Macaca fascicularis: one gene and its partners. The protein of the gene in region 2 purifies or fractionates together with the protein of the main gene of each other region. This does not show direct contact. Links are inferred from orthologs where the notes say so. Each region holds a gene or a part of one and is shown on either strand. Other genes may lie near its edges.

What was found.
Region 1: the proteins of GIT1 (region 2) and ARHGEF6 purify together in Homo sapiens (affinity purification with mass spectrometry; 3 studies listed by BioGRID and IntAct, counting the BioPlex papers as one, with this or other methods). This does not show direct contact. The link is inferred for Macaca fascicularis from reciprocal best matches to the Homo sapiens genes GIT1 and ARHGEF6.
Region 3: the proteins of GIT1 (region 2) and PAK1 purify together in Homo sapiens (affinity purification with mass spectrometry; 6 studies listed by BioGRID and IntAct, with this or other methods). This does not show direct contact. The link is inferred for Macaca fascicularis from reciprocal best matches to the Homo sapiens genes GIT1 and PAK1.
Region 4: the proteins of GIT1 (region 2) and GRK2 purify together in Homo sapiens (affinity purification with western blotting; 4 studies listed by BioGRID and IntAct, with this or other methods). This does not show direct contact. The link is inferred for Macaca fascicularis from reciprocal best matches to the Homo sapiens genes GIT1 and GRK2.

Annotation. Positions count from the first base shown.
Region 1 is NC_088395.1:142,924,340-142,931,847, reverse strand, and holds the start of ARHGEF6 (rho guanine nucleotide exchange factor 6), read left to right. Parts: upstream 1-2,543; 5' UTR 2,544-3,016; coding exon 3,017-3,181; intron 3,182-4,411; coding exon 4,412-4,495; intron 4,496-7,508. UniProt on the Homo sapiens protein: Acts as a RAC1 guanine nucleotide exchange factor (GEF).
Region 2 is NC_088390.1:35,091,323-35,098,956, forward strand, and holds the start of GIT1 (ARF GTPase-activating protein GIT1), read right to left. Parts: upstream 4,991-7,634; 5' UTR 4,742-4,990; coding exon 4,690-4,741; intron 1-4,689. UniProt on the Homo sapiens protein: GTPase-activating protein for ADP ribosylation factor family members, including ARF1.
Region 3 is NC_088388.1:76,355,945-76,363,529, forward strand, and holds the start of PAK1 (serine/threonine-protein kinase PAK 1), read right to left. Parts: upstream 4,752-7,585; 5' UTR 3,966-4,751; intron 3,035-3,965; exon of another isoform or gene 2,828-3,034; intron 1-2,827. UniProt on the Homo sapiens protein: Protein kinase involved in intracellular signaling pathways downstream of integrins and receptor-type kinases that plays an important role in cytoskeleton dynamics, in cell adhesion, migration, proliferation, apoptosis, mitosis, and in vesicle-mediated transport processes.
Region 4 is NC_088388.1:7,106,907-7,114,458, forward strand, and holds the start of GRK2 (beta-adrenergic receptor kinase 1), read right to left. Parts: upstream 4,300-7,552; 5' UTR 4,070-4,299; coding exon 3,957-4,069; intron 1-3,956. UniProt on the Homo sapiens protein: Specifically phosphorylates the agonist-occupied form of the beta-adrenergic and closely related receptors, probably inducing a desensitization of them. Key regulator of LPAR1 signaling.

The DNA of each region.
Region 1 (7,508 bases), on a different chromosome or scaffold from region 2:
TTGTGTTGCTGTGACCCCAGTCTTTGGATTCCCCCTCTCCCCACATTCCCTCAGTTCTTCAGCTCCTTCCTATCTTCATTTGAGTCCCTAACCAGCCTGGGTTTCATGGGTACCCATTTCACCTATATGCTTGCCACTGCCCTGGAATTCCTAGATTTGTTGACATTTTAGCACACCAACTGTAACTTCCAATCTTTATACAAATAGAACTGGTTCTTTTGCCTTGAGGCAGTGGCCTTGCCATTCTGATATACTTTATGACTCATAGTAATATTTGCTGTAGTGAGTGTCCAAAACGAGGCCGAGTTTTATCCAGATGACCTTGGTGAACTCAAGCCTGTTTTGGAGGAGGCTGGGTTCACAAAATTTACTCAGGCTTTGTTCTTCATCAGAAGATGTAAGTGATACCTCAATAATACTGCCAGATTTTGTTTGTCTGTAGAGTAAAATTTTGATGAGCAATTGTGAAAACTGTTCAAATGACATATAAAAATGTGTTTAAGTTCGTCAGATTTGGGAATTTTATTTATCAACAAATGGATTATGTTTTTATTTCCATTACATAGATTTGGCCATGGGTCAACATCAATGAGAACTTTTGATTAACTATACTTATTTTGCTTAAGTCACAAGTACATCAAACAAACCTTGTTATAGAACTATGGACAGACACAATAATATGAATGAGTCTGAAAATGATGATGTTGAGTTAAAGAAGCCAGGAAAAAGATAGTACCATACTGTGTACTTCCATTTATATAAGATTCTTGAAAATGCAAACTAATCTATAGACACTGAAAATAGATTGGTGGTTGCCTGGGATTTGGAGGCAAAGGGGAAAGAAAGAATTGAAAGGGCACAAGGAAGATTTTGGGGGTGATGGAAAGGTTTATCTGGATTGCATTTGTGTGATTGTATCAAAGATGTATGTATATGTCAAAATTCATTAAATCATATATATGCAGTTCCTTATGTGTCAGTTACAGCTTAATAAAATGGTAAAAATCATTAACGAGAAAAAATATTTGTTTTAAGTCATTTAAACTAACCAACAAACAAAAAATCCTTGCTATAATCAGCTACTGTCTATATCAGGGACGCCATCTGAATACATTCATTCATTTATTCATTCATTCATTCAACATTTTTTTTTTTTTTGAGACGGAGTCTCGCTCTGTCGCCCAGGCTGGAGTGCACTGGCCGGATCTCAGCTCACTACAAGCTCCGCCTCCCGGGTTTACGCCATTCTCCTGCCTCAGCCTCCCGAGTAGCTGGGACTACAGGCGCCCGCCACCTCGCCCGGCTAACTTTTTGTATTTTTTTTAGTAGAGACGGGGTTTCACCGTGTCAGCCAGGATGGTCTCGATCTCCTGACCTCGTGATCCGCCTGTCTCGGCCTCCCAAAGTGCTGGGATTACAGGCTTGAGCCACCGCGCCCGGCCTCAACATTTTTTAACATCTACCATGTATACCTGGCAGTCTGCTGGTAACACAGTGTTAAATAAAACAAACAAGACCCCGAGTTTAGGAAGCTTACATTCTGGTGGAGGAGTCAGATCATCATATCAACAAGTGATAATAGTGAAGTGTGACAAGTGTCCTGACAGAGCAAGAAAGGGCAGCTTTGAAAATGTTTAGTAGGGTTATCTAAGCTGATTCTTTGGTAGTAGATGCCTGAAGCTGTGTTGAAAAGAATTCTGAGGCTTAGCAGGAAAGAGCTATAAATGATCTGATGTCTCCCATGCTTGAGGAGAGGTGATGATGGTAAGTGCCACACATTTGCCAACATAGAGTTATACTATTAAAGTTGGCCTTATCATACATTTCCCAATAGTATGCCTATTTCAAGTGGTTCTGAAAATGTTTGAGAATGATGAAGATCTCTTGTTATAGACTTTTTTTTTTTTTTTTTTTTTTTTTTTTTTCAGAGCAGTATTTTGAGTGCAAAGTGTTTTTTTGTTGGGGAAATATGAATCTTCCACATTGTAGTGTAGATAGAGGACAAGTGCTCTTTTGTTCTCAAACATTCTATTTTTTCAAATGTATTTTACCCACTTATGTGACTGAGTCTGAGCCTTTGCTTAGGGTACTGCAGCTGGATTATGTAGTGGAACCAGGTCCAGAAAAAGAATTGCTAAAGAATGCAAGTAAACAGGATGTCAGATGTTATCCTTAGCCTATTTCCCTAAACATAGCTTTTTGGCTGCAAAGTAAAATGCCATTCTTCTAGCTTCTGCTTATACACAGTGATGGCTGGCAGCAGGCACAATCTTCGTTTGCTTGGCACGTTGTCACCATGCAACTCAACGTGTTTTGCAAGGAATCATCGTGACACACCATCTCTGGGAGATAGTATGAGGACATCCGGTTATTTCTTGGAAGAATTTTCTGCCTACCTTCTTTGAGCCCTGTTGTGCCAGCGTATCTCCCCATGAGGCTCAGATCTGTCTGACCTAAGAGCCAGTTGGCATCGTCCTCCTAACAGAAGCCAGATTTTCACTGGGGCTAGACTATTTATTGACAGTGTTTTCCCAGACTGGCCCATGAGTGTCTCATTTCCAAGGTCCCCTGAAGTGCTGGCTCACCTCTGTTTCCCAAAGCACTTGCTTGCTTGTCTCTCCTCCCTCCCCAGCATCCTTCTCACTTTCTTCCCTTATAACTTCTCGCACTCTGTGTGCGTGTGTGTGTGTATGCGTGTGTGCATGTGTTTTTCTTCTTCTTTTTTTATCCTAATGAGTTTGTTTTACAGGTTTTGAAAAGGAAAAACCAGTGTTATCCAGGATTGTTAGGTTAATTCTTATCTGTTTCCACGTCTTGGACCGTGATCTCTGTGGTTTTAAAATCCTGTATTTTGAGTGGGTTCCGCTGTTGTTTGAGAAAAGTTGCTTTAAACCTTTGCTCTACAAGCACCCGAAGAGAACTCATAAAAAGGAAGACAACAGCAGATGCAATCGCGGATGTGGCTTAGTCCTTGCAGCTGCCCCAGAGTGCTGTTTGGAGTGTACTGTCCTCAGTAATGAATCCAGAAGAACAAATCGTGACATGGCTTATATCTTTGGGAGTTTTAGATTCCCCTAAAAAGACCATCTGTGATCCGGAGGAGTTTTTAAAGTCCTCGCTGAAAAATGGGGTAGTTCTGTGCAAACTGATCAACAGACTCATGCCCGGCTCTGTGGAAAAGGTAAGGGAAATTTGTAGTCTCTTTGGGATTGCTTATCACCAGAGAGTAGCAATCATATAACTCTTGAGATTTTTCTATTTCCCAGGCCGTGGGAGTCTCCTACTTTAATATTTTTCTAAGAGTTAGACATTTTTTCTTACTGTTTTTGTAGTTTGAAAATGTAAGAAAATGAAATGTTGTTCTTTAGTAATTGGCCCCCAAATTGTAGTATAGGGAAAACCTGTGACACTACTGGCAATAGGGGACAAGGAGAACACTCATATCACAAGCTTGCTCTATCGTGGAGATGCATGTTACATCTCCTTGTGTACCGAGGACATGTTTTGAACTTGGGGTACTTATGAGTCTGTGGAAAAATAGAATGATTTATAACAGATCTTGGTGGTGTTTTTTGGCAGTTTGACTAAAATCAGTGTAGATTTCGTTTTACAAAAATCCATTGAAGGAGAGACTATATAGCAACTAAGAGTAATAATTCAAAATGTCACATAAAGTTTGTAAAAGCAATAGAAACCAGATATATGTTTCGAATGCAATGTGCGTTCAAAGTGAAACTAACTTTACTCTCTTTAAAACAATTCAAGATTTTTAATAGCTGGAAACCCATGATCACAAGAATAGATAATTTCTTAAGTAGGCACTTTAAGTAGCTTAAAGGTACAATTTTACATTTACTTTCTTAAGGTCATCATGGACTGTGAGTATATCACTTTTGCCTGCATGGACCAGTTTGTATTTTTATTGAGCAAATAAATTTACTTATAGTTTCTTAAACTTGAGAAAGAGTGATTACATAGTGATAAAATGTAAAGAAATGGGATCAAATGTAGAGAACAGCCAAGGGGAAATATAATTTTATTAAATTATCAGGGGGAAGCGAGGAAAGAGAGAGGTACCAGGGATTGCTTCCTTTCTTGAAAGCAAGAACTAAGCTAAAAAAACTGTCTTGGTCTCCCTAATTTGCCATCAGCACACTGGAATAGAAGGCATGAGAGAAAGCTTGTAAGTAGACATGACTTGCCACTAAAGGTTTGGTGACATTTGAAACAAAGATCGACCGTTTAGATTTTTGCATCACTTCCTTCAGTGGTTATTTCTCTTCCTGGATTGACAGCAGTGTTGCCCCATACCTTAAGAAGCCTGCTTTCTCTAGTTATCAGCAAATGATGAATATACTTTGCTTGGCATGGGATGACAATCTCCAAGTGACATTTCACTGTGTTCCTCTAGTTTTGTCTAGATCCCCAAACTGAAGCTGACTGCATCAACAACATCAATGACTTTCTGAAAGGATGTGCAACCCTCCAAGTGGAAGTAAGCCTACCCCGGGTGCCTTCCCTGTTGTTATTGTTTTTTTTGCTCTGCTAATCAAGATTGGTAGTAAAAGTACTTGGTTTATTTTCACTGTCATTGGCCACTGAGTTAAACAGAGGTAGCAGACTGGTGGTCCCCAGTAATGGATTGCTAGTCTGTCTTTTCCAGAAACCAGTTCCAAGCAAAACAAAACAAAATCAAAACTCAAACAATGATGTCTTTTATATACAGCATCCAAGCCCTGTAAACAGGCTTCCAGTGACAGAGCTTGTGTGGGTGTGTTCCCCTACTAAGGGGGAACCAAAAGCAGGCCACTGACTGTTGGAGAGGGTCACTGTAATCCTCCCAAGTTGAGAAAAGAGGAAAGGCCATTGTTACTCCTTCCCATTAACACTTTAGAACAGAGGCCTTGAAAAGCTGAGAGAACTTGGCTCTGAGGTAGAAATTGTGTAGTAAATTTTGTTGCATTATTTTATATTATATGGATCCCTACAGTGTGTATAGGAAGTGTTGCTGAAAGGGAGTTGATACTTCCACATGTGCATCAAGTTGCTTAACTTCACTGTGCTTCATTATTTTTATCTGTAAAATGGATATGCTAATAGCCAACTCATGGGATTGCTTTAAGAATCAAATAAGGCTGGGCATGGTGGCTCATGCCTTTAATCCTAGGCCAAGGCAGAAGGATTGCTATAGCCCAGGAGTTCGAGACCAGCCTGGACAGTATGGTGAAATGGTGACTCTACAAAAAATACAAAAATTAGCCAGGCATGGTGGCGTGTGCCTGTAGTCCCAGCTACTCGGGAGGCTGAGGTGGGATGATCGCTTGAACCCGAGAGGCGGAGGTTGCAGTGAGCTGTGATCTCACCACTGCACTCTAGTCTGAGTGACAGAAAGAGACCCTGTCTCAAAAAAAAAAAAAAAAAAAGAATCAAATAAGATACTGTGTAATAATTTAGGGCCAAGAGCTCCAACCTCATAAGATCTATGAGATAATTTATGTACAGTCCTTAACATAGGGCCTTGGGACAGAAGTAGTACTCTATATTAATAGATTAGCTTTAGTCATATTATCTGTGGACAAATAGTTGTGGTTTAAGCATTGACTCTAGTGCTAAACTTCTTGGGTTCAAATCTCAGTTCTCTCTTACTAGCAGCTTTGTGACCTTGGGCATGTTACTTAACTATGACTCTAGGCCTCAGTCTCCCGACCTACAAAATGGGAATAATAGTGGCACCTAACTCTTAGGATTAGTGTGACCTTTTGTAAAAATATTATTTCAATAGTTTGGGGGGAACAGGTAGGTGGTGTTTGGTTACATGGATAAGTTACTTAGTGGTGATTTCTGAGATTTTGGTGCATCCATCACTTGAGCAGTGTACACTGTACCCAATGTAGAGTCTTTTATCCCTCACCCCACTCCCACCCTTCCCCCTGAGTCCCCAGAGTCCATCATATCATTCTTAGGCTTTTGCATCCTCATAGCTTAGCTCCCCTTATAAGTGATAACATATGTTGTTTGGTTTTCCATTCCTGAGTTACTTCCCTTAGAATAATGGTCTCCACCTCCATCCAGCTTGTTACGAATGCCATTATTTTGTTCCTTCTTATGGCTGAGTAGTATTCCATGGTGTGTGTGTGTGTGTGTGTGTGTGTGTGTGTGTGTGTGTATGTGTGTGTATGTATATATATATTACCTTTCCTTTATCCACTTGTTGGCTGATGGGCATTTAGGCTGGGTCCATAACTTTGCAATTACAAATTGTGCTGCTATAAATATGTGTGTGCAAGTGTCTTTTTCATATAATGACTTCTTTTCCTCTGGGTAGATGCTCAGTAGTAGGATTGCTGGATCAAATGGTAGTTCTACTTTTACTTCTTTAAGGAATCTTCATACTTAAGGTTTTCCATAGTGGTTGTACTAGTTTACATTTCCACCTGCAGTGTAGAATTGTTTCCTTTTCACCACATTCATGCCAACATCTAATATTTTTTAGTTTTTTAATTGTGGCCATTTCTGCAGGAGTGAGGTGATATCTCCTTGTGGTTTTGATTTGCATTTCTGATGCTTAGTGATGTTGAGCATTTTTTCATATGTTTCTTGGCCATTTGTATATGTTCTTTGAGAACTGTCTATTCATGTCTTAGCCCACTTTTTGATGGGATTATTATTATTATTATTATATTTTGAGACTGAGTCTCACTCTGTTGCCCAAGCTGGAGTGCAGTGGTGTGATCTTGGCTCACTGCAACCTCCACCTCCCCAGTTCCAGCGATTCTCCTGCCTCAGCCTCCTGAGTAGCTGGGATCACAAGCGCCCGCCACCACATCTGGCTAATTTTTGTGTTGTTAGTAGAGACAGGGTTTCACCATGTTGGCCAGGCTGGTCTCAAACTCCTGACCTCAGGTGATCCACCCATCTCGGTCTCCCAAAGTGCTGGGATTACAGGCATGAGCCACCATACCCAGCCTATTTGTTTATTTTTATTATTTATTTATTTATTTAGTTTTGCTGATTTGTTTGAGTTCCTTGTCGATTTTGGATATTAGACCTTTGTCAGATGCATAGTTTGTGAATATTTTCTCCCACATTGTGAGTTTTCTGTTTGCTTTGCTGATTATTTCTTTTGCTGTGCAGAAACTTTTTAGTTTAATTAGGTCCCATCTATTTATCTTTGTTTTCGTTGCCTTTGTTTTTGAGTTCTTGGTCATGAACTCTTTGCCTAAGCCAATATCTAGAAGAGTTTTTCCAATGTTACCTTCTAGAATTTTTTTTTTTTTTTTTTTTTTTTTGAGACGGAGTCTCACTCTGTCGCCCAGGCTGGAGTGCAGTGGCCGGATCTCAGCTCACTGCAAGCTCCGCTTCCCGGGTTCACGCTATTCTCCTGCCTCAGCCTCCCGAGTAGCTGGGACTACAGGCGCCTGCCGCCTCGCCTGGCTAGTTTTTTGTATTTTTTAGTAGAGACGGGGTTTCACCGTGTTAGCCAGGATGGTCTCGATCTCCTGACCTCG
Region 2 (7,634 bases):
ACTCAGGCTGCAGAAAGGTCACGGGGGAGAAAGCAGGCATTGTGTGCCGCCTGAGAGTGGGGGCAGGGCGCCTCTCTCCCAGGACACTTTGCTCTGCCCAGCGGCCCCCGCCCTGTCTCAGGAAACCCTGTCCTGGGGTGGGGGTGGAGGACTGGCTCTCTGCCTTGCCCTGTACCGCTCAGGGTGTTCAGAAATGCCCCCACCAGGGGAGGGACAGCCTTAGGGGGATAAGAATCTCCCCCAACTAGAAGGCAATTCTCAGGCCCTTCCCCTCTAAGGACTTCCACCAAAGTTCCCAGGAAAATTGAGGAGACTCTGAGTCAGGGGTCCAGCCTAGGCTCTGCCCACAGCAAGTGGCCCCCGCTGAGGCATGGAAACAGGAAGTAAAGGAGGGAGGTCTGTCTTTGGGTTTAGGCTTTTTAAGGGAACCCCTCCCAATCAGGGCAACAGAGGGATGCCCAAGGTGACTGCCAACACCTTCCTAGGGGGCTGACTCCAGGGCTCAGGAGGAAGGGATGAGCCTTCTTCACCAAGAGGGGGAGTCCTAGCATGCACCTCTGTGCTGGCTTTACCCAAATAGTGAGGCACCCCAGGCGTGGAGAGCTCCCTCTCCCCACTCCAAACACCACTGGGTCAGGGGGCTGCCAGCCAGTCACCTCCGGCAGCCCAGGCAGGAAGCCGGAAATGATGCAGCCCAAATTCCTCTTGGTGGGGTTTCCTGTAAGTGGGGAGCCGCCCAGGGCAGGATCATAAATGGACTGACCCGAGGTCTACGGTCCTACCGGAGAAGCCAGGCGGGGAAGGTTGACTAGATATCCACAGCCAGGCGCTCCAGAGCCCCAAGCCATGGGCAGACCAGATGTGGTGAGTGACCCTGGATATGGCAGCAACCAAGACCAGGGTGCAGGAACGTGGTCCAAGGGTTTGCCTCGCACTTTCCCCCAGCCTGGGGGAGGGGTTCTGCCTCTCCTCCAGGTGACCTGAGAGGAATGGTAGGCAAAGGACACTGTCCTGGTCTGGGCAGCTGACACTGGTGTCATCTCATTTCTGGATGACACAGATGCGATGCCCACCCTAACCATTCTCTCTCCTCTCTCTGTGCAAGTGCCCTTGGGTCTACCCAGATTGTAGTTTAAGGTGAAGGGATCCTTGCCTCAAGAGGCTCCTTGGACCAAACCTGGGACGGAAAGGACAGGAACTATAAGGGAACTTGTCAGCCCTCCCCCTGGGCTTCTGGCTCCACCAGCAGGGTACGGGTCTGTATGTCTGGCGAGGTAGCAGGTGTGATCCTGGGATCACGTTAACCAGTGCCAACCCCAGGGAGGCCTCTACTATGGTGAATTCCTGCCACCACCTGAAGCCATCAGTGGCCTCCAGGGCCAGTAGGTTTGCACATACAGGCCAGCTTCAGGCCTCCCTCCCCTGAGCTAAGGGCCAGATCCCCACTAGACTAAGGGAAAAGCCCACATCATGACGGCAAGCAAGAGTAGTCCTTGGGGTAGTCAGAATGGTGGTTACCTCTGACTGCACAGACTGAGAGGGGGCACTTGAAAGCTCCCTAAGGTGATGGAAATGTTCTATAACAAGCTTGTCCAACCTGCAGGCCATATGCGGCCCAAGGCAGCTTTGAATGTGACCCAACACAAATTCATAAATTTTCTCAAAACATTATGAGACTTTTGTGCAATTTTATTTTATTTTTATTTTTTGCTTGTTTTAGCTCATCAGCTATCATTAGTGTTAGCGCATTTTAGGTGTGGCCCAAGAAAATTCTTCTTCCAGTTTGGCCCAGGGAAGCAAAAAGATTGGATACCCCTATTCTATAACATGATCGGAGTAGTAGTTACACAGGTATACACACATGTAAAAGCCCATCAGTGTGAACACTCAGGTGCGGGCACAGACACATACAAGTTCTACCTCAATAAGGCAGGAAGAGGAGCCCAACATTTGTACCACTCTGCAATCTACACTATGAAGAGACAAATCAGCCTGCAGCTTGTCCTGTAACATGTCCCCAGCCTTGCTCACCAGAGATGCCTAAAGGACAGGCATCTTGAGGCCTTCACTCTCACCCCCAGGGCTGCCAAAGTGGAAAAGGCTGAGATAGAAGCCCATGGGGTGAGGAGAGGCCCTTGACTGAGACCATGTGGCAAGGTGGGCCAAGGCAAAGGAAAGGGGAAAATGCACATTCTCCAGGGCTCCCTGCCCCCTTCCTCTCTTGGACTCCCCAGGCAGGCAGGAATGCACACGGTGCCTGACAAGGTGGCACAAGCTGCCAGAGCAGCCACACCATGTCCAGTTGCCTACCAACACACTCGCACTTGTCCCGTGTGCCCAGGCCCGGGAGCAGAGGGAGGATGGGGCTCTCTGGGAGCAGGCTGCATCTCACCTCTGACCTCCATGACTCCCCAAATTAACCAAGCACAAAAAGTCCCTGGCCCCACTCCTGTGGCTGGGACTGCAGGGCTCCTATCACAATAAAAGAAGGCTGTGACCCTGGGGTGGAGCGATACACCATGGGGCTGGCACTGGATCTGGACTCCAGACTGCTGGGTACCCTCATGCCTCTCTGCCTGAGATGCCACAGGACCCAGACCAAACACGTCGCTGCATGCCAGGGCCAGCATCCTAGGGTCCAGGTGTGGGATAGTCCCAAGCAGCCAGCCAGGGTCCCGACAAGAAGCCAGACACTCAGGGAGCGCCTGCCATGTGCTGGACACTTCGCTGGTGCTAGGTGGGCTGATGTGTAAGACTGTCCATATCCTCCCCACCCTACCATCCTCACCTTCTCACCACCTTCCTGACCTCTATTGTGTATCAGGGGAAAAGAGTCATCTGGGGCACAAATTCCTCTGACGGATGAGGACCTGGGAGTAGGAGCTGGGCAATCCAACACATCTGATGCCCACCATTCCTCCCTGAGCCCACTGGGCATCCAGAGGCTTTGGATGACATTCAATGCAACAGAGAAAGGACAACTGCCTTGCTGCCTTGCTGGTGCTGCCCTTCACCCCTCCACCCCAGAATCAGATCACAGCCCCCCCAGAAACCATTTCTACTCCAATTTCTTTGCCTCCTAATTAAGGAAACTGAGGCCCCCACAGTGAGGAAAGTCTTTTTGGGGTTACAGAGTAAGCTGGGAACAAAGGCAACACTATGCCCCAGGCTTCCCCGATAGGGTGCCTGCTAAGCCTCTCCTCCACATGCATGCCATGCTCACCCCATGGAGGTGCGGAACAGTGGGCAGACATTTATAAGGCAAGGTGTGTCCTCAGCCCTGCCATCCCCAGACCTGCCTGCAGCTGGGGGAAGGGAGTCATAGTTTCTTAGGGGTATGGACCCTCAACCCCAGGGCCCTCTAAACCAAAAGCCCCAAGGAGGAGAGTATCTTGTGCCCAAGCCCTGCTGGGTCACAGTTCCCAAACAGTCTAGCTTGGCACCACCCCCAGAACCACCAGAGCATCTGTGAGGCTCAACCTGTGGGGTCCTGGGCTTGCTCAAGGGGTGGCTGAAAGTTATGGACCCACAAACCAGCACCCCATAATCTCACTCTTAATAATGCCCACAGCCCCGCTAGAGTTCACAGACCTCCGAAGCCTGCCCAGGGGCCTACTAGGGAGATAGCTCCTTTTCTAAAGAAAGAATGGATGGGGGCTAGAGCTTCCCTCCCAGGCCAGCTGCAGAGCCCAGTCACTGGCTGTCCTCCCCCATCAGAAGGGAGCAGACTCTTGGATCATTACCCCTGACTTCCTCAGCAGGCCTGGGGGGTTTCACTCCAGCCCAGTCCTGACTCTGTTAGGAAAAAGAAGAGAACCACCATGTAAATACAGCCAGGAGGCAGGCTAGGAAGCCAGCAGGATGCGGGGAATCTAGGCAGTGCCTCCCACCCATTTCTCGCCAGACTGGGCTAGGGGACAGGGAGGGGCCGGGGCCCAGGATAGCTTGATGCCAAGCTCACTTTCCCAAGCGGGCCTTACGGTGAATAGGAACAGCAGGGTCCAGCCGAGCTGTTCCCAGTCACCACCAGCAGGCCTGGTGATGCCTCCCGATAAGACACCCGGGTCTGAACTGGCCCTGAACGCCAGGCCCCGCAAAAAAGCGCTAGCCTTAGGAACCCGCGGCAGGGAGTCCTGGGAGTAGCCACTGCTCATCTGCTCCTGAGGAGACGGTATCCAGGCCCCGCTGGCGCATCTGCCCGGCCCTCTGCTCCTTGCCCTCCACCACCCCGGCAGGCGTGCCGACCACGCGAGCAGCAGGTGCAAGACGCGGGGGTGGCACTGAGATGACACAAAACCACACTCGCCCCCACCTCCCAAGCCCTGCCGGCCTCCGCCACTGCCCTCCTGCCACCCCAGGCTGGCGCTTCCGTCGGATAGAGATGGAGGTGGAGGGGCAGCCAGCTGCCCGCCTCCCTCAGACCGAGGGGCGGGAGGCAGCGCCGGGAACGTCCTTCTTCGCTCGTCCACGGCCTCCAGGGAGCATGGGCCCCCCAGGACAGCCCTCCCGCCAAGGACGCGGCTCCGCAGTGGCCGGGGCGGGGGCCGAGCCCGGAGGCCGCAGCCCCCCGCCCCGCCCAGCCCAGCCCAGCCCAGCCCTCCGGCCCCGCACGGCGCTCTCGCCAGGCCCCGGCGCCCGCCCGGCGGCGGCCTGGCTGTGCGGTCCCGCCCCCGGCCCCGCCGCGCTTACCCGGGGCGCTGCAGTCCGCACACACCTCCGCTCGCGGCCCCTTTCGGGACATCCTCAGCGGCGACGCGGCCGCAGCCCTCTGGGCCAGCGTGGGGGGCGCGGGCGGCGGGCCCGGGCGGCGGCGGCGGCCCCTGCTGCCCGGCCCGGCTCCGGCGAGGCCCCGGCGAGGCTCCGCGCGCCCGGCCAACCGTCCGCCCCGGGGCTGGCCCGGAACCCGCCGTGCCCGCCTGCCCGCTCGCCCTCGGGCGCCCTCCGCCCCACGCCGCCCCGCCGCCGCTCGCGACTCCTCTCTCCGCCCCCTGCGCGGCTCCGGGCCGCTCCTGCAGGAAGCGGCGCAGGCCCTGCCCACCAGGGGAGGGGCCGCACCCCCGCCCCGCCGCGCGCTCCCGGCCGCGCCCCCTGGAGAAAGGAAGCCCGGGCGCGGGCGGGAGGGGGCGGGGGCGCTTAAAGGGGCCGCGGCTAATGCCCGGCCCCGGCGGGCAGCGGGGCCTGCGGTCCTGGCCTCCGCTGCGGCGCTCGCCTGGCCCGGAGGCAATGTGAGTCACCCTCACAGCCCCCTCCCCTTCACTTTCCGCGTGGGGTGGCCTGGGGGACGCTGGGCCGAGGGATGGCGAGGGCGGGGATTAGGCAGGAAGGACTTGGAGGCCCAAGTCCCGCTCCAGGTCAAAGGGGCTGTGCCTTGGGGTACCCTTCTATCTCTGGTTGGGGTGAGGTGTGCCTCCCGGTCCTGTAGGTGTCCACATCTGTGTGTCCAGGTGTGTGTGCGTGTGTCACACTCTTGCTGAATACGCTCATTGCCAACAATATGGACGCCCAGGTGCTAGAAAGGTCAGGCAGTGTATTCCCCTGCCTCTGGACTAAAAATATATCTATCTCTCCATGCATGCTTCCATCCAGAGAGGAATCTGGGCGGTTTTTAAAGACCTCCCAAGGAGTGACCACTGTGCCTGTGTGCACTCAAATCCACTTGTCATCCGCCTTATACACACGGTGTTTCTGGGCCACCAGAGGTGTGTGCGTCCAGAAAGGGTGCATATAACACAGAGGGGCCGTTTCAGGTGACAGCCTTTCTTCCTGGACTTCACACGAAGAGGCAGGCAAAGGCAAGGCAGGTGAGGGACGTGGGTGGGCTGGGGGGCAGGGAGCCTAGTTGGAGGCCTCACATGAGCACAGCCCCCGCACTGAGCATGCTCCCCCATACACGTGTGCCGCGCGTGCACCCAACCCCCAATCCCTGCAGCAGCAAAAGGCCCGGGCACTCTGCTTGTGGGGAGAGGGCAGAGGTCCCCAGGGCCAGACCTGGGGGCCAGGTCAGTGGTGACAATTGAGGAGGGGTTATCGAAGTCAGAGACTCCTGCTCGGTAACAGATGGGGGCAGTCCTTTGGCAGGGGTGCTCAAGTTGGTCGATTTATCCCAGCGGTGCCAGAGCGGCAGTGACTTGTGGGTGGGCAGGCTCCTTCCCTAGGGGAGACAAGTAATTCTCATGAGTCACACCACCCGAAATACATGCAAAGCTGCCTCCATCGCCTTTTGCTGCGGCCCGGATTGACAAGTTTGTTTGAAATCGCGATCCATGGGCTTTATTTATAATTGCACCTTAAAAAAATCTTTCAGGCCTCCCCTCCCCAGACAGCCAGCCGCTCAGCTGGTGGGGCTTTTGCAAGCAACGATACCTAGCTGCTATGTAGGGAGGAGTACTACCTGCCGCCCCGAGCTGCTCTCTCACCAAAGAATCCATGGGCTTTGGTGGCCCCAGTGGGAAGGGGGTAAGGGGCGGGGGGAGTGAGACGGAAGGAGTGGCCAGGCAGCCGGTGCCGGGCGCTCAGTCGACGAGCGGTGGCCTCCCGTTCACCCCCGGTGGACCCCCAGCCATGGAATTTCATTTATTAAATGTCGAGGAGGCTGCTGGCAGCCCTGCCGCTTGGCTGTCTTTGTTTCTCCGCTGTGTGGGCGCGTCTCGAGCACGTGGCAGCTGAGCGCGCAGGCGAAGCGCAAGCGACCTGGGTTCAGTGTCTACCGCCGCCTGGCAAAGAAAGAACCCGGCCGCCCAGGGGACAGCTCCCCACAATCGACAGCTCCCCACAACTCCCCCTGCCCTCGGACTCCTGGGCTTTGCTGGGGAAGAAGGATGACTCACTCTGCTTACCAACCCCCCGCAGCCCCACTCCCCATCTCCTGGTTGGCTCGGAGGCTACCTGGGAGTGGCCCCGGCGCGGACACACCGTCCAAACTTTGTTTCCCCCAGCCCCGTCACAGCCAAACTTCTGGGCCTGGGACTGGAGATAAAAGGGTTTCTGGATTCCCCCATGGAGATGTCACCACCCCAGGAAGCAGGACTGCTACAGTGGAATCACATACAAGGTTCGAAAGACAATTTAATAAGGAAACGCACTGGCTTGCTCCCGGCCACTCCTAGATGCCCCTCCCCCGCGACAGCCCCCCTCCCCTACACCAGTTGCAGCCACGACACTCTGCTGACCCCTGGTGGTGCAGGCGGGCAGCGGTCCCGGGCCGCCAGAGAAGCCAGCTGGCTCCTCCCAGGCGGGAGAAACGGGCGAGGCAGCCCGCTCCTCCCTCATCTCTTCCCGCCGGGGCCTGGCACCGCAGGGTGTGGAGGAGGAAGGAGAGAAGACCACACAAAGAAACCTGAGAGAGTTTGCAAGCTTTTGCTGGCACTTCCCACACAAATACTTCTTGGATTGTTGTTTTAAGTAGGGCCGGTGTGGAATCCCTTATTCCTGCCTTGTTTTGAGGTGGGCTCAAGAAGGCACCGTGCCTGGTCCCGCCACCTGTCTCGGCCCGCCTGGTTTGGGGAGGGAGGCGCTGTTTCCAGGGCAGTCATTATCCTTAGCTCAACCCAGGAGGTAGTATCTAGAGTCTCATTTTGAAGGGGAGTGGACCGAGAAAGTCGGAAAAATTAAGCAGTTTGCTTTTTTAAGGTCAG
Region 3 (7,585 bases), on a different chromosome or scaffold from region 2:
ACAAGGTCATGCAGTAACATACACTAAAGAAGGTCTCCTAACTTTTCCAGGGTTTCATTTTCCCCCACTACAAATTACATTACCCCTTAGAAATTAAAACACCATCTGTGAAGATATGTTTGTTTGTTTTTTTTAATAATTGGCATACAAAAAGACCCAGAAGGAGGAAATACTGGTGTGGGAGAATGTTTTTAAATTTTTTATCTTCAAGTTTGAATATACTGACTATTAATTTTGAATCAATGCATTTTTCCTTTTGTTTTTAGTTGGTATGTAATAATTGTATGTATTTATAGGATAGAGTGATATTTTGATATGTATATGTGTAATAATCAAATCAGGATAATTAGCATATTCATCACTTCAAACATTTATCATTTCTTCATCATAAAGTCAAAAGCCTCTGTTTTTAGATGCATATTACGTTTATAGCTTTTCAAAAATATACAATAAACTGTAGTGAGATGTATTCTTTTGATAACCTTAAACTTGTCTCTTTACTATGCCAAAAAGAAATATTTTTCTCCCACTTTCTGGTTATCATTTTGAAAAATAACATGGAGAGGGATCACAAAAACATTAAAACCAGCAACAACAGAATTAATTAATGTCTCAAATTGGCAACTGCTGATTCTACCTTGATTTTTGTTTTAGTTTTCCCCAACAAAGCCCATGACCTCTTAAAATTTTTTAAAAGTCTGCCTGTCGAAATGATGCTTAACAAATCATTCCTAAATTGAGGGAAACAAATAGAAAGGCAGCTTTCTCCCACCTTTATGATCATATACCACCTTTTTTCACCCCTGTATTTCATCTCTTCATTTCAGCACTTATCATGTCATACTATCTCTAGCTCCTTAAAGACTTGGGCTGCACTCTTGTATATAGCTGAACATCCTGCCCAGCACAGGGTCTGGCACATGGTAGAGGAGGACTCATAATTTTATAGTAAATGGATGAATAAATGAAGTCACTCTCGCAGAAGGAAGCTAGGAAAGGAGAAAACTGGGCATGGTATCTTAGGGCTAATAAGAAAGTGAAAGAAACAAAGCATTTTAAGAGCTTCACAAGGAAGGGAAACCTTTGTGTGGAGTCAAACAGACCCTATAGAGCACTAGAGAAAGACAAAAACCACAGGAGACCAGGAAGAGACAGTTTTAAGTTAAAAGACTCAAAAGTTAAGAGTGCTCATTTAGACTTGCAAAACCAAGTTGCAAATTCCCAGGAAACAATCCTGGCTTGGGATATTGCAACAGCAGTTTTCAGGTGGTGGTTAAAACAAACAAAAGACTGGGCTAAAATTCTTGCAGGCTTTGGCTGGAGACACATAGATGCAGAAGGGAAAAGCTCAACCTAAAATGAATCCCCCAAAAATGTGAGGATCCCCTTGGATTCGCATATTGGACCATGATTCCTATTCATTCTGAGAACTGTTCTTTAGTAAAACCCCAATGTAGCAGCTAGCAATACATAGGATTAAATCATCTTATATTAGTCATTCAACAAATACTTGAGCGCCTGCTATATGCAGTCACTATTCTAGGCACTAGGATTAAAGCAATGACCAAACTGACAAAACTTCCCAGTCTCAGGAAGCTTTCATTCTATTGGCAAGAGTGGGGTGGGGTGGGATGGGATGGGATGGGATGGGATGATGTCAAGCAGTGAGTGCTATGGAAGAAAAACGGGACAGCGGGAGCTGGCAGGGTGCTTGTTTTTATCAAGAGCAGATCTTTTAACCCTGTGGTTCTCAAACTTTAGCAAGCATCAGAATCATTTAAAGGGCTTATTAAAGAAATTCACAGGCTACCGAAAAAAGGCACAAACTCAAGTAATTACAATAGAGTGCTATAGAAGACCATAAGAGTGGTATGTGTATGAGCCAGAGGATGGAAGAGCAACTCATTCTACGCAGGAAAAGGAGAGACTAAGGGACTGCATCGCAAAGGCCCAACAAGGACACCTCCACAGGCAGGTAAAGGGTGGAAGGGAAGCATCCAGGAAGAAAACAGAACATGCAAAAGCGAAGATGAGAGTGGCAGGGGAGCCACAGAAAGTGAGGCTGCAAAGGCAGGCAGTGGTCTGATGCCTGAGAGTTTCTTATTCCATGTTAGTCTGAAATTTATCTTCAGAATATGAAGAGTCAGGGGTAGGGGGCATTGATGTGGTAAGGTTTTGTTTCACGGAAATCTTTCTGGATGCACAGTACCTTCCTTTGAGGCACTGCTTCCTTCAAACCTAGCACTGGGACTCAAAACATGCGCTTAGTAAATGTATATTGAATTGAACTGAACAAGCTTTTTACCAAATGCCCTCTTATGGATGAGGCAGGTCACCTTCCCTGCAGGACTCACTTTGGCCAAGAGAAGACTTGTAAAACAGGTCCAGCAGCCTCAATTATTGCACACTACTACCTGTACAACTGGAGTCCCCCAGAGATTAGGGCAGACCTTCATTGTTTACTTGTCTACCTCACCCATTAGACTTTGAGCTCTTTGAAGACCGGGAATATCTTAATAGACTGAATCCCCATAGCCTTAGCAAGAGGCCTGAAACATAGTAGCTCTCCAAACTCCAGTAATGTTGGATAAATGAATTGACTGAATTAGCAAATTCACCAAGGCAGACACATGAGTTCATGTAGTTAAGCGTATGGATAAACTTCAGGGAAAGTATGGGAAGTTTTCAGCGTCAATGTTCCCAAAACCCTTTTTGAAAGGCATAGTTGCTAGTTGGGGGGGGGGTGGGGGTTCTACCCACGTGATTTAGAATTTTCCAAATAGGAACCAAAATGTTATAAGTGCTGTGGTAGAAATCTCACCGGGCCAATGGGAAAAAGTCAGTTCTGTCTGAGAGGAGGGACAGGATGGAGGCCAGCAAAGATTTCACAGTGTGGGAATTCTTCAGTGGACTCTTGAAAGCTGAGTTGGTGCTTGCTACCTGCCCGTTTTGGGGCATAAAACCAAACTTCTGGAGCTTTTAAGGCTGGAAGTGACCTGCTCAAGGTCACACAAGAAGTAGATGAAGCCACAAGGTAAGAGATGAGGTATCTGTACTGATAATTCCTACTTTCTCCTGACAGAGTTGAAAGAGAACCCACAAATGTAGGAGGCAAAATTAAAGATTTTTCTCAAGAACAATTCTTAAAGTCAAGACTAACGAATTGAATTTTTATTAGTAACCACAGAACTAACCCTTCCCTTCACTGTTCAGTTTTTGTAAGAGTAGAACAATTATCCAAGGGGTTTAAAAACCAAGGACGTTGCTCACAACCCACTACTTCTCAAGTATTCTTCCAAAACATTCCCAGTAATGTGTATTGTTGAAATAGGATAGCGAAGACTACAACAATCATGTCTTTTCAAATGGATTAATGAACATAAAATAACTATAAATCTCCTTTCCCGGTTGTTTTTCACTTCCCAAGTTACAGAATATTCCGCGGTGGGGGAGGGGCTGCGTAAGTCAAGTCCTACCAGCCCTTATTTTTCAGGGAGTAAAACCCTAAAGGTGACTGTCCAAGCCTAGAAGGGATCATTTATTCCATGCAGAAGGAACTGGGGCGCCGCTTTGCTGTGCCTCCTCGTAGTGGGACAGGGTGAGCTCTGCAGGACTGCAAAGTTCGGAAGGGACTCGGTCCCGGACCGGTACCCGTGGGGGCTCCCGGCCCCAGCCTGGCCTGGCCCCGCCCCGCCCCTTCCCTCTCCCGGGTCTCTCGATCGCCCGGCGTCTGAGACCCGCGACCCCGCCGGTGAGCGCACGGGGGGCCTTTGTTGGCCCGACGGGAGCGGGCCTCGCTGGGCGACGCCCGCCTCACCTTACCTGGCGCCTCCGCCGGCCCAAGCGCCCGGCCCCGCCACGCGAGATAAATGGGCCCAGACCCCTACTCCACCCGTCCCCACCCCCGCGCCCCAACCCTGGCAGCCCGGGACGCGAGGGGTACCGGGCGGGAGGCCCGCTCTCACCTTCCGCGCTCGCTCAGCTCCTCTCGGCTCCTCCTCCTCCTCCCGATGGTGGGTGCCGCCGAGCCGGGAGTGAGGGCGCGAGTGTGTGCGAGCTACCGCTTCACTTTCTCCCTCCTGCCGCCGCCGCGCCGCCAGTGCCGGGGATCCCCTCAGGACAGGGGAACTGCGAGGGAAGGGATGATGGGGGGGCGGCAGGGAGCGAGACGACGCGGGGCGGGGGCAACGGTGGGGGGCTGAGGGGCGAGGTGCGAAGAGCTCGGATGGCCTCTGAGGCAGGAGATGGGAACTGGATGCGGAGACCAGGTTCTTCGAGGGGGCTCACGAGAGCGCGGGGCTCCGTGAAAAAGGGAATAAGAGTCCGAGGGGGAAAGCGTCTATGGAGGAGGACGGCGGAGCCTGCGAGGGAGGCGCAATAGGCGAACGAGGGGGCGGGAGCGTGTGGGGGAAGCCGTGAGGGGGCGTCTACTGTGCAGCCGCCACCTTCGGCTCCGGCTGCAGCCGCGGCAGGGCCGCCTCCCCCGCCTACAACTGCGCTATTGTACGCCGCTAGGCGGGCCTGACCGCCTAGTTCACTGGCTCCCCTCCTCCTCCTTCTTCCCCCTTACCCCCGCCCTTTCCCCCTTCCCTCCCCCCCGGCCTTTCCCCCTCCCCCGCGCGGCGGTGGCTCCGGCGGAGCCGTGCCCGCCCCGCCTCCCGCAGGTGGGAGGGGGCGGGGAGCGCCTGACCGACCCGTAGGAGCGAGGCCAAACCCTGGCCTGCAGAAGGGCGAACGCCTGGGATTGCGTCATCGGCGCGTGACGCCAGAGGCTGGGGAATCACCCGGCTGCTGCGTGACGTCATCGCGTCGCGTCACTCTTCTCGGTCCGCTGTCCTTGGCCGGCAGTTTCCGTGCAGCATTTCTACCAGACAATTTTGGGACTATTTCTGGGAGGGCTAATGGTGTAGCCAGGATGGAGAAAGACGGCTAACTTCCGTGGCTGAGGATCCTCTTCAGGTTAACGAAGCACCACCGCATCTATAAACTCGTTGTCAAGGGCTGAAGTTGAAAACTATCCGACGTTGTGTGATCGCAGAGCCAGACGTGTATTATGTTTTCTTTGTGTGGGAGGTGGGAGAGGGGACGGGGATGGGAGGAAGACAAAGAAATTATAACGGAGAAGTTTGAACTACTGTGAACTGATATAGGATTGTGAATTGATATAAACAAGAGTTAAGTTCCTGTGGCATATTTCTGGTCACAAGACATCACCAAACTTCTAAAGACCAAAACACCTCTAATATCAAACATTGACATCAATGTGACTTATACATACATTTAAGAAAGATTAATAAAAAGAGGCCAGACCAGGTGCCTTGGCTCATGCCTGTAATCCCAGCACTTTGGGAGGCCAAAGTGGGCAGATCGCTTGAGCCTAGGAGTTTGAGACCAGCCAAGGTAACATGACAAAACCCCATCTCTACAGAAAAATAAAACCCAAATACAAAACATTAGCCAGGCATGGCAGCACACACCTAAGGTGGGAGAATCACTTAGGAAAAGAATGGGCTTCCTTTCACGTTTTTTCTCTTACCGTGGAGGATACTTTCGATCCAAAGCTTTCTCCTGAGCTCAGATTGTGTATTTCCCAATACCTTCCGAGCAGCATTACCTGCATACTCGTCGTACCTCAGATTCAATATGTGCGAAACTGAGACAGCATTAGAAAGGCTGAGAGTCCGGGATCAGATTGCCTTGCTTGAAATCCTAGCTGTTCAAATATTAGTGATAGGACCTTAACATTTCTAAGCCGTCATTTCTCTGTAATAATAAGTAGTACCTTAACTAGGTCTTCCTAAGCCTCAGTTTTACCATAGTAATAGTAACAAGCCCTTTAGAATGTTGGCTCCCCCCCAAAAAAATTCTTATTTTGAAATTTCCCCCCCAAAATTGCTTATGTTCCTTTCCGTTCTCAATGAATGAGCCACCATTCAGCAATCCCCTAAGCCAGGAACCTAGACGTACTAATAGATCCTCATTCTTCCTCTCTCAACATCCATATCAAGTTGGACACCAAGTCTTGTAGCTTCTCCTAAATATTTTTCAAGTCCTTGCCTGCGTCATCTTCTAGTACCACCACCTGAACAACTGGAGCAACCTTTAGTCCCTTCAAATTCAATCTGTTTTTCCCACTGGTTACCTGAGCAGCCTTATAAAAGCACAAATCTGATGACATCCTCCCGTTTAAACACCGAAAGGATTTTATTGCTTTCAGGATAAAGTTCAAAATCCTGAACTTGGCACTTTACTACCTGACTGCCTACACTAGCCTTTCTAGCTTTGCCTCACACCATTTATTTTTTGCTCCAGGCACACTGAAATATTAACGTTATTTGAATACCCATTTCTTCATGTCTGTGAGCTCTTCCCTACTTATCTGACTGGCCAACACCTATTCATTGTACAAAGCTGAGCTCAAATGTCATTCATATTCGTATTCATTCGACTAATATTTCTAAAGTTTCCCTAAGCCTTAACAAGACTGTAATCCTATAGTATTTCTATGCCTTTTGTGGCAGTAACTGCATTTGTGTATCTGATTTCTTGAGTTCCTTGACAGCAAGTCATATGCCTTTCCGTATCCTCAGCATCTAAAACAGTGCTTGACATATACTAAGAATCAATACGTTGTTAAAATATATTTAATAAGGCAGGCGTGGTAGGTCACACCTGTAATCCCAGCACTTGGGAGCCCAAGGCAACCGGATCACCTGAGGTCAGGAGTCTGAGACCAGCCTAGCCAATAGGGAGAAACCCCATCTCTACTAAAATACAAAAATTAGCCGAGCATAGTGGCAGGCACCTGTAATCCCAGCTACTCAGGAGGCTGAGGCAGGAGAATCACTTAAACCAAGGAGGCGGTGGTTGTAGTGAGCTGAGATTGTACCACCACACTCCAGCCTGGGAGACAAGAGCGAAACTCCATCTCAAAAGAAATGTATTTAATAAATGTTCATATTGTGCTTACTATGTGCCAAGTACTGTTCTGAGCACTTTACAAACACTGTCTTTAAACCTCTACCCTCTAAGGTAGATACTGTTGTTATCCTCACCCATCTTATTGATGAGTGAACTGAGGCACAGAGGGGTTAAGTAACTTAACCCAGGATCCTAACCCAGTAAATTGACTCTGATCTGGATTGTCTTTTCGTGATCTCTGCAGTAGGCAGAATAATGGCTCATCCAGTGTTCCATTGGCTCATCCAATGGAATGTTTACATTCCAATCCCTGGGAACTATATGTTACCTTCCATGACAAAAGGACTCTGCAGATGTGACTAAATTAAGGATTTGGGGAAAGGGACTCCCCAGCTTTTGGGAGCAGACTCCAAAAAATGAAAAAGGCAAGAAAATGGATCCTCCCTTGGAGCCTCTGGAAAGGAAGAGACGGTATCCCGATGATACCTTAATTTTAGCCCACTGACATCCATTTAGGACTTCTGAACTACAGAACTGTGAAATAATAAATGTGTATTGTTGGCCAGGCAGAGTGGCTTACATCTGTAATCCCAGCACTTTGGGAGGCTGAGGCAGGTGGATCACCTGAGGTCAGGAGTTCAAAAGCAGCCTGGCCAACATGGTG
Region 4 (7,552 bases), on a different chromosome or scaffold from region 2:
AAGTGAAACCCATGCTCTGGAAAGGAAAGCAGATGAGAAACACATCCCAGAGACCCATTCCTGGGGAACGGTGGGGCTTCAAAGGCCCAGAGGGAGAGACTGCAAGAAAGCTCATCTTGTTTTCAGGGAAAGGAGTCAGGAGAATGCTGCCACTGAAGTGGAAAGTTCTGGGTAAGGGACAAAGGCTGGAAGCAGCAGGGTTGCAGCTGGTGCCGCAGCAGTGGAGGAAGGAGGGAGGGAAAAAGCTTCCCGCTGCACTCCTTCCCCCACAAATCAAGGGCAGGAAGTTCTGGCTGCAAAGAGTTAACAGGAACGAGGCAGCGGAGGAACAGGGGCAGGGTCTGGGGAGACAGGGAAGCCAGAAAGGGGCAGGAAGGAGGAAACTCTCGGTGGGGAGGGACCAGGAAACAGCCAAGAAATCGGGAGGCTGCAAGAGGCACCCGGCTCTGACAATCTGCTGCTGGGGCTGCCACTGTCACTGGGGAGGGCAGAGGAACCTCCTGGGAGCGCCCAGGCAGGGCTCCTCAGCTAGGAGCCCAGAGATTAATTACACCAGGCCTCAGTGGTCATATCAAGCAAATGATGAAAATTACAAGACTGCTGGCTGCCGGGAAAGGGAGACGGCAGTTCCTTCAGGGCAAGGTCCAGACCACAGACCCTGAGAGTGAAGGGGCAGCCCCCTAAATTTACCAAGGTGGAAACCGAGGCAGGCCCAGTCAGGCTAAGGGACTGGCCTGGGTCCCATGTGGGCTGGTGGTAGAGGGAGAAGCCAGGTCTCCCATCCTCCAGATACACAATGCTGCCTTACGCTGCCTCCTTCTAGAAGAAGGTCGGGGAAAGGGACTGTTTCCTCGGATTCTATAGGGTGACAGAAGGGGAGGCCCCTGTACCAACTCAATGTGGCACTGTGCCTAACCACTCCCATTCCCTAGCCATTGGAACTCAGAGCTGTGATGCCAGCCCCAGCTCTCGGCCAAGCCACATCCCCAGGCACCAGCCATGGAGGGACTGCCAAGGTGGGCCACCTCAAGGTGTGAACAATTCCCAGAGGCACCCTGTCACGGGGACAAGCCACAGCCCCTCTCCCTGACTCTGACCTTGACCTTGGGGGTATGGGGAAGACAGGCTCCTGCATCTGATGGGACCCTGGAGTGGAGCTGCCCCTCGGGGCAGCAGCTTTGCCAGGGCAGCTCAATTCTCCATCCCAGCCAACAGGAAGGGGGCTGAGCCTTGTGAACTGTGACAGCCAATGGCCCCAGACAAGCGGTGCCAGTCAGCCCACGCCGCAAAATGTGGACAGGGGTGAGAACAGTGGTGTGCAGGGGTGGGTGGAGGGGATAAAGCACAGCAGAGAAACAGCACTGGCCTGTGTGGTCCAGAAACCTGAGGCCCCATTCCAGCTTTCTTCTGTGACGAGAACACGACTCCTCCCCTCCCTGAGCCTCAATGACTTCAACTGCTAAAGGGGAGAATCCCATCTGCTGGGCCTGCCTCCCACAGTTGTCAAAAGGACAAAATGGAGTAAAAAGCACTCTGCAAACGGAAAAGTGTCGGGCAAACATGAGACGTGGTCAGGATCACCATCGGGGCGGCAGGGGGTGCGCTCTGCCCCACTGGGTGTGCAAGGCAAGGCATTATGCAAAGGGTGGCTTGCTCCCTAATGCCCCAGGCCTGGACCCCCATGTAGGGGTGGCCCATAGCCCTTCCCAGGCCTTAGCACACTGACATTCGGCGCTCGCACCTCCAGTCCATTTCACAGATGTGGGCAATTTGCGGAAGGCCATGCTGCTGATGGTGACCCAATGTGAAAACCTGGGCTGCCTGGCTCCGCCTCCTGCTGTCCTCCTAGAATCCTATCCAACCTTGTTTCTGCTCAGGACTGCCTGGGGCGTCACACAGTCCTGGTATTTCTTGGGCAACTACTACATGCAAGGCATGGCCTTGCCAGCTTCACAGGTTGGTTGAAGAATTGAGAGGACAGATGTCAAAACAGGTAAGTCAGTAATAACTCCTATCATTATTGCTATCATCGCCATCACTGCTGTGGATGGGAAAGGGGACAGGAAAAGAAGAACATCTCGTTTCTCCGGGTTCTGACACCTGCAGAGCCAAGGCGGCACCCCATCAGAAGCAATGCATTCTGGGGGGAAAAGTACACGAACGCAGACAGTTCCAGAAAAGGTCCCACCTCACACATTGCCGAACTCCATCCTGCAGGAGGGTCTCAAAGCTGCGGCCACCAAGGAGAGCCGTTTTGAGCCCTAGAGGCTGACTCCCCCATTTCCTCCCTCGTGGGTTTGTCATTTCTGAACTCATTTCTGCACTAACCGTCACTGCTCCCTGGACAGCCCCCAGCTGACAGTCAGTCTGGTTCCTGTTTTGAGAAATCTGATTGCAAATATCTTAGAAAAAAAAGGCCCTAACGGCCTTTTCCGAATGCAGACCAATTTTCCTCTCCCCGGCCTGACGTTCAGTCAATCCAAACACCCAGTGAGCAGGGCATGGCAGAGGGGGCCGGTGAGGGCCATGGGCATGGCACCCCTGCAGCGTCAGCCCAGGCTTAGACAGACACTTCAAAGGCTGAGGGACATCACAGAGTCACAACTCTTATTTCACGCCATCCACATTTCACAGACGAGAAGACTGAGGCCCAGTGAGGGAAGGGACTTGCCCACAGTCACAAGATAAGACCACGGCAGTGTGGACAGGCCCCATTCCCAGCCTGCTGGGGCACCAGGAGGCTAACTCTCAGGCATGCACGAGGAGTTGCCACACGACACAAAGGACCGTGGCGGGCACATCTGCTCCCTGGCGCAAGCCAGGGCAGCCAATGAAATGTAGAACCGGAAGTCTGAAGCCCTGATCTGTTGGCCAGGTGCCACCTGAGACTACCTGTGTGACTTGGGGCAGGCCACTCACCTCTGGAGCTTCAGTTTCTCCACCTGTTCCACAGGGACAAAACCACACCTGTCCTGGCCACCCCATTCGCTGCTGAGAGGCTCACACAGTGGAGAGATACTCCATCAGCCATAAAGAGCTGGACAAACCGCAGCAATCGTCCACATCCTGTGTACTTTTGCACCTACATCCTGAACAGTCTAAACTTTGATACCAGGTGTGATGTCAGTTGTCTTACAGGGGCGGCAGCTAAGGTCCAGCTGTTGCCAGTGTGCTGGGAGGGCCCCTGGTCAACAGCACCCACCGGGCACCATATGCAGTGCACGCCCGAGAAGGAATGTGGGGGAGAGGGCACGGGATGTTTCCCCCACCTGAGCGCGGTCTGAGGGGGAGGGCGTCCGCAGCACCCTAGGTCCTGCTCACCACGCCGCCCCGAAAGCACTCTCAAGCCCAACTACAGGATAGCGACTCCACCAGAGGGTGGGAGAAGAGTCCGGAAAACTGGCTGTCCCCCCACACCTCACACAAGTGTAGATTGGAGGGGAGACGGGTGGGGGTAGTGGGAACCCCAAGGCGGGTGCCGTGAGCAGGGACAGCAAAAGGGTGGGTGACATCGTCAGGCGAGGTAAATGGTGGCCGGCGGAGGGGAAGGGACCCCACAGGGACCAAGGGCTGCTCGGAGGAGGATGAAGGGGCGCGCCGGGCCCCTGTGGGAGAAGGCGGGAGCTAGGGGCTGACAGCGACTGGAGCGGGGGGCCGGCGGAACGCGATAAGGAAGCAGCAGGGCGGCCGGCGGGACCGGAGCGGGCCCGGGGGCCGAAGGGGCAGAGGAGCTCCGGAGTTGGGGCGCTCCGGGCTCAGGCGCCCGGGGTCTGGGGCTTAGCGTCTGGACCCGCAGGCGCCACGGCCGGGCTGCTCCGGGCTCGGGGGCCGACAGAGGGTCGCGAGAGCCGGCCCCGGGGGTCCAAGTCGCGGGGTCGAGTGTGGGGCCAGGGTCTCGGAGTCGCGGCCGGGGTGCCCGCGGGGTCGGGCCGGGGCCGCGGGCGACTTCTCCTCACCTGGGCTCGGGCAGCAGGATCTTCTTGCTGGCGCGCGCGGCCGGCGTGGCCTTGCTCTTCTCCATGGCCATCAGGTAGCTCACGTCGGCCAGCACCGCCTCCAGGTCCGCCATCTTGGCGGCGGCGCTGCCTCCTCCCGCCGCCGCCGCCGCCGCCGCCGCCGCTCCCGCTCGCTCGGCGCTCGGCCCGGTCCGGCCGCGGCTCGGTCGGCCTGGGGCGCCGACGCCTCCCGCCTGGCCCCGCTCGGCGCCCGCGGCTCCGCTCGCCGCCGCTCACAGGCGGCGCCGCCCCATGGCGCCGGCTCGGGCCCGGCCCCGGCTCGCGCTCCGCTCCCGCCGGGACTGCAGTCGGGGCGCCGCCGCCGCCGCCGCCGCCGCCGCCCGCGCGCCCGCGCCCCGGAGCCGCCGCCGCCTCCGGCCCCGCCTGCCGCGCACAGCGCCAGCGAGCCCGCAAGTGGCCGAGCCGGGCGGGCGATGGTGCCCCCTGGAGGCCGCGCGGAGACCTGCGACAGAGGGCTCAGATCCTGGCGGTGACCTGGGGTCTGGACGGAGACCCGGGCCTGGAACAAGACAGGGACCCGGCACGGAAGACGATCCCAGACCCATTCCTTGACCACAACCTCGGGTCACATCTCTGAATCCCAGGCTCTCCAGTCAGGCCGTGGTCCTGCCAACAGACATGATCACAAGGAACCTGGACGCTCACCAAGACACAGATTCAGACCTCTGAACACCATCCCGGGGCTTTCATCTCAGACCCTGGCTATAACCCCAGACTCCCTGACCTTTGACGCAGTCCACGACCTGACACCAGACTCCAAACAGGACCCCAGACTCAAACCTTTGCCCACCACCTCAGACTCTAACCATGACCTCAGATCACAGCCCTGGGTCTCCAACGCCATACCCAGACTGTGACACTCACCCCAGACCCCTAACAGTTCCCCAGATCCAGATTTTGGACCATGACCTCGATCTCATCCTGGTTACTGACCCCAACCTTGACTCTGACCCTAGGCCACTACCATGACCCTGCATCCTAGACTTGGGGTCAGGGCTTAGACCTAGATTGGACTATCAACTCCAGACCACTGTCCTAGGCTCAACACCCAAAACTGTGGACACAGACTCAGGACTAGGACATCTAACCTGGGACCCACATTGGACCCAGAATCCTTAGTAGGTCACCCAGAACCTGGGATCTGACAACTACAGTCCAATTACAGCCTTCCCCCATCCCCGATCCCACCCCTCCTACTCTAGAACCAATCCTGGCCCCTGCAGGCCCACTCTGGATCAAGTACCCTGCACCCAACCCCACCCCCTAACAGGCTCGTAGACCCAGGTCCCTGGCCAGCACTCTTGGCAGCTCCCTTCCGTGTACCCCATCCCATCTAGACGCTCCTTCAGGATGGTTCCACATGTAGGGTGAAACCTCTCCCAGCCTGGGATGGCACAGAGGTTTCAGTGCTGCCTGGTAGGGGAAACCCACCCGAGAGCCCACCCAGAGTGAGGAAAGCCAGGTGTCTCAAGGCAGCAGTCCTATCTCAACATGCCCCTCTCTAGACCCTCTCTTTGCTTTTGAAGTGATAGGACCCTCCTCCCAGCCCTGGGCACATAGAGCTCAAATCTCATTACCATGTTGTGGGCCAGCAACCAGGATCCTTTTGCAAAGCAAGGCTCCCATCTCTGTGCACTTCTAGGCTACCTTCTTGGATCAGTCCCAACAGAACCTGGAACCAGAGCATATCAGAGCTAGTGAGGTTCTCCTCTCAGTGAGTGGTGAGCCCCAGGTTTCTTTTCCCTAACTGCTCCTTCATTTTCTCCCCTTCTCTAATTTGTCACTATAGTCTCCTGTCTGGCCTCCTGAGAATCTCCTTGAATCTGTCTACTTCTCAGGGTCCTATGGCCAGCCACTGCCCTGATGCAGGCCCTGACCAGAGATGCCTTTCCCAGGTCTAGATCTGATGGAGTCACTGCCTGCTTGGCACCAAGAAGCAGCTCTCCAGGCCTTCTGGGGCTACTGAGAGTGAGAGACCTAGAGGGGTCTCTAGGACTCACCCCACTCTGCCCAAAGCAGGTTAGGTGAACAAACTCCTTAATCTGCAAGTCAAGATCTTGGAGGACTTGGACCTTGGATGCTCCCGTTTGTTTTGCTACCATCCTCTGCACCTGGAGCTCCCCCACCAACTCACCCACCCATTCTCACTTCTGTGCCTCTGCTGTTTCCTGGGCCTGGAAGCCCTTCTGTGTACCTTTCTCCCTGGCCAACTCCTACTTATCCGCTAAGACTCACCTCCTCCCGGCAGTCTTCCCTGACTCCCTGACCCCAACTATGTACATCTCCAGTTCTACACTTACCACCTTCTAGGCCCTATTTTCCATCTTCAGTTGCAAGATGCATCATTGCAAGATGCATCATTGCAAGTTTTGAGAGTGGGGAGTGAAGTCTCATTACATATCTGCATCAATTGGAAAATGCATCGTGATGTTGGAAATGCTGTTATATATATTTAAAGAGTACATACTGTCCCCCACTGTCACTGGTGCTCCTAGTTCATCCCTTGCTCCCAGTGCCCACCACAGGACCTGACTCAAAGGCGTCAATGTTTGAGGAGTGAATGAATGAGTGAATGAGCTGTTGGAGCACATGGGGTTTGGAGTGGAACAAGGCCAGATGCCACAACATGAAGCCTCTAACCTCCTCTCCCCACTGCCCTGTCCTGACTCTTCTGGACTGTGAGCACAGCCACATGTCAGCCAGGGTTTTCGGGAATAACCTCTATTTAAAAACTTCTGCCTGATGAACTTGTCAGACCAGAGTCTGTGTGTGCGTTCTGAAATGCCAGCCATTCTGTTCCAAGAGGTGGCCTTACCTTCCCACTCCCACCTAAAGACTCAGTCCCTCCCACCCACAGCCCAATCCACACCCCCTGCCAGGCCTGAAGCTGGGGTCTTTTGAGGGGGGCTGGTCTCCCTTCGTTGATTCCTGGGCCCAGAAAAAGTGACTTCAGGAAGCCCCAGGTTCAGAAGAGGTTGGTGTGAGCCCCAGGCCTGGGGAAGACTGGTTTTGGGGATGGTGCTGTCCTCTGTTGGTCCTGGGAAGGTCGATTGCCTTTGCAGGTCAGTGTCAGGCATTTCTTCTCTCTACAAACCTTTGTCCTGTGCCTAGACTGCTCCTGACCAGGATGCTAGGAGTGCAAAGTGGAGTGGAGCCCCATCTCCGCCCAGCTGGCAGCCCCACAGACACATCATTACTTGGCATCGCCACTGGATGACTAATAGATGTTGCAAACTTAGCGCGGCCCACACACTGAGCTCTTGCTCCCACTACCCAGCCCCTGTCCAACCTGCTCCTCTCCCGCCTCCCCATCTCAAGCATGGATCCTCCATTTTCCCAAAATCTAGGAGCTGTCCTCGATTCCTCTCTTCCCTCATCTGGCCCCTACCCCCATGTATACCCCTGCTGTCATACAGCATCTCTGGCATATCTGTCTCTGAAGTACACCCTCGATCCTTCCACTGTGCCCTGCTAAACCCTGGCCTGAGTCTCAATCACCTCTTGCCTGCATGCCTGCACCAGCCTCCTCTCTGCAC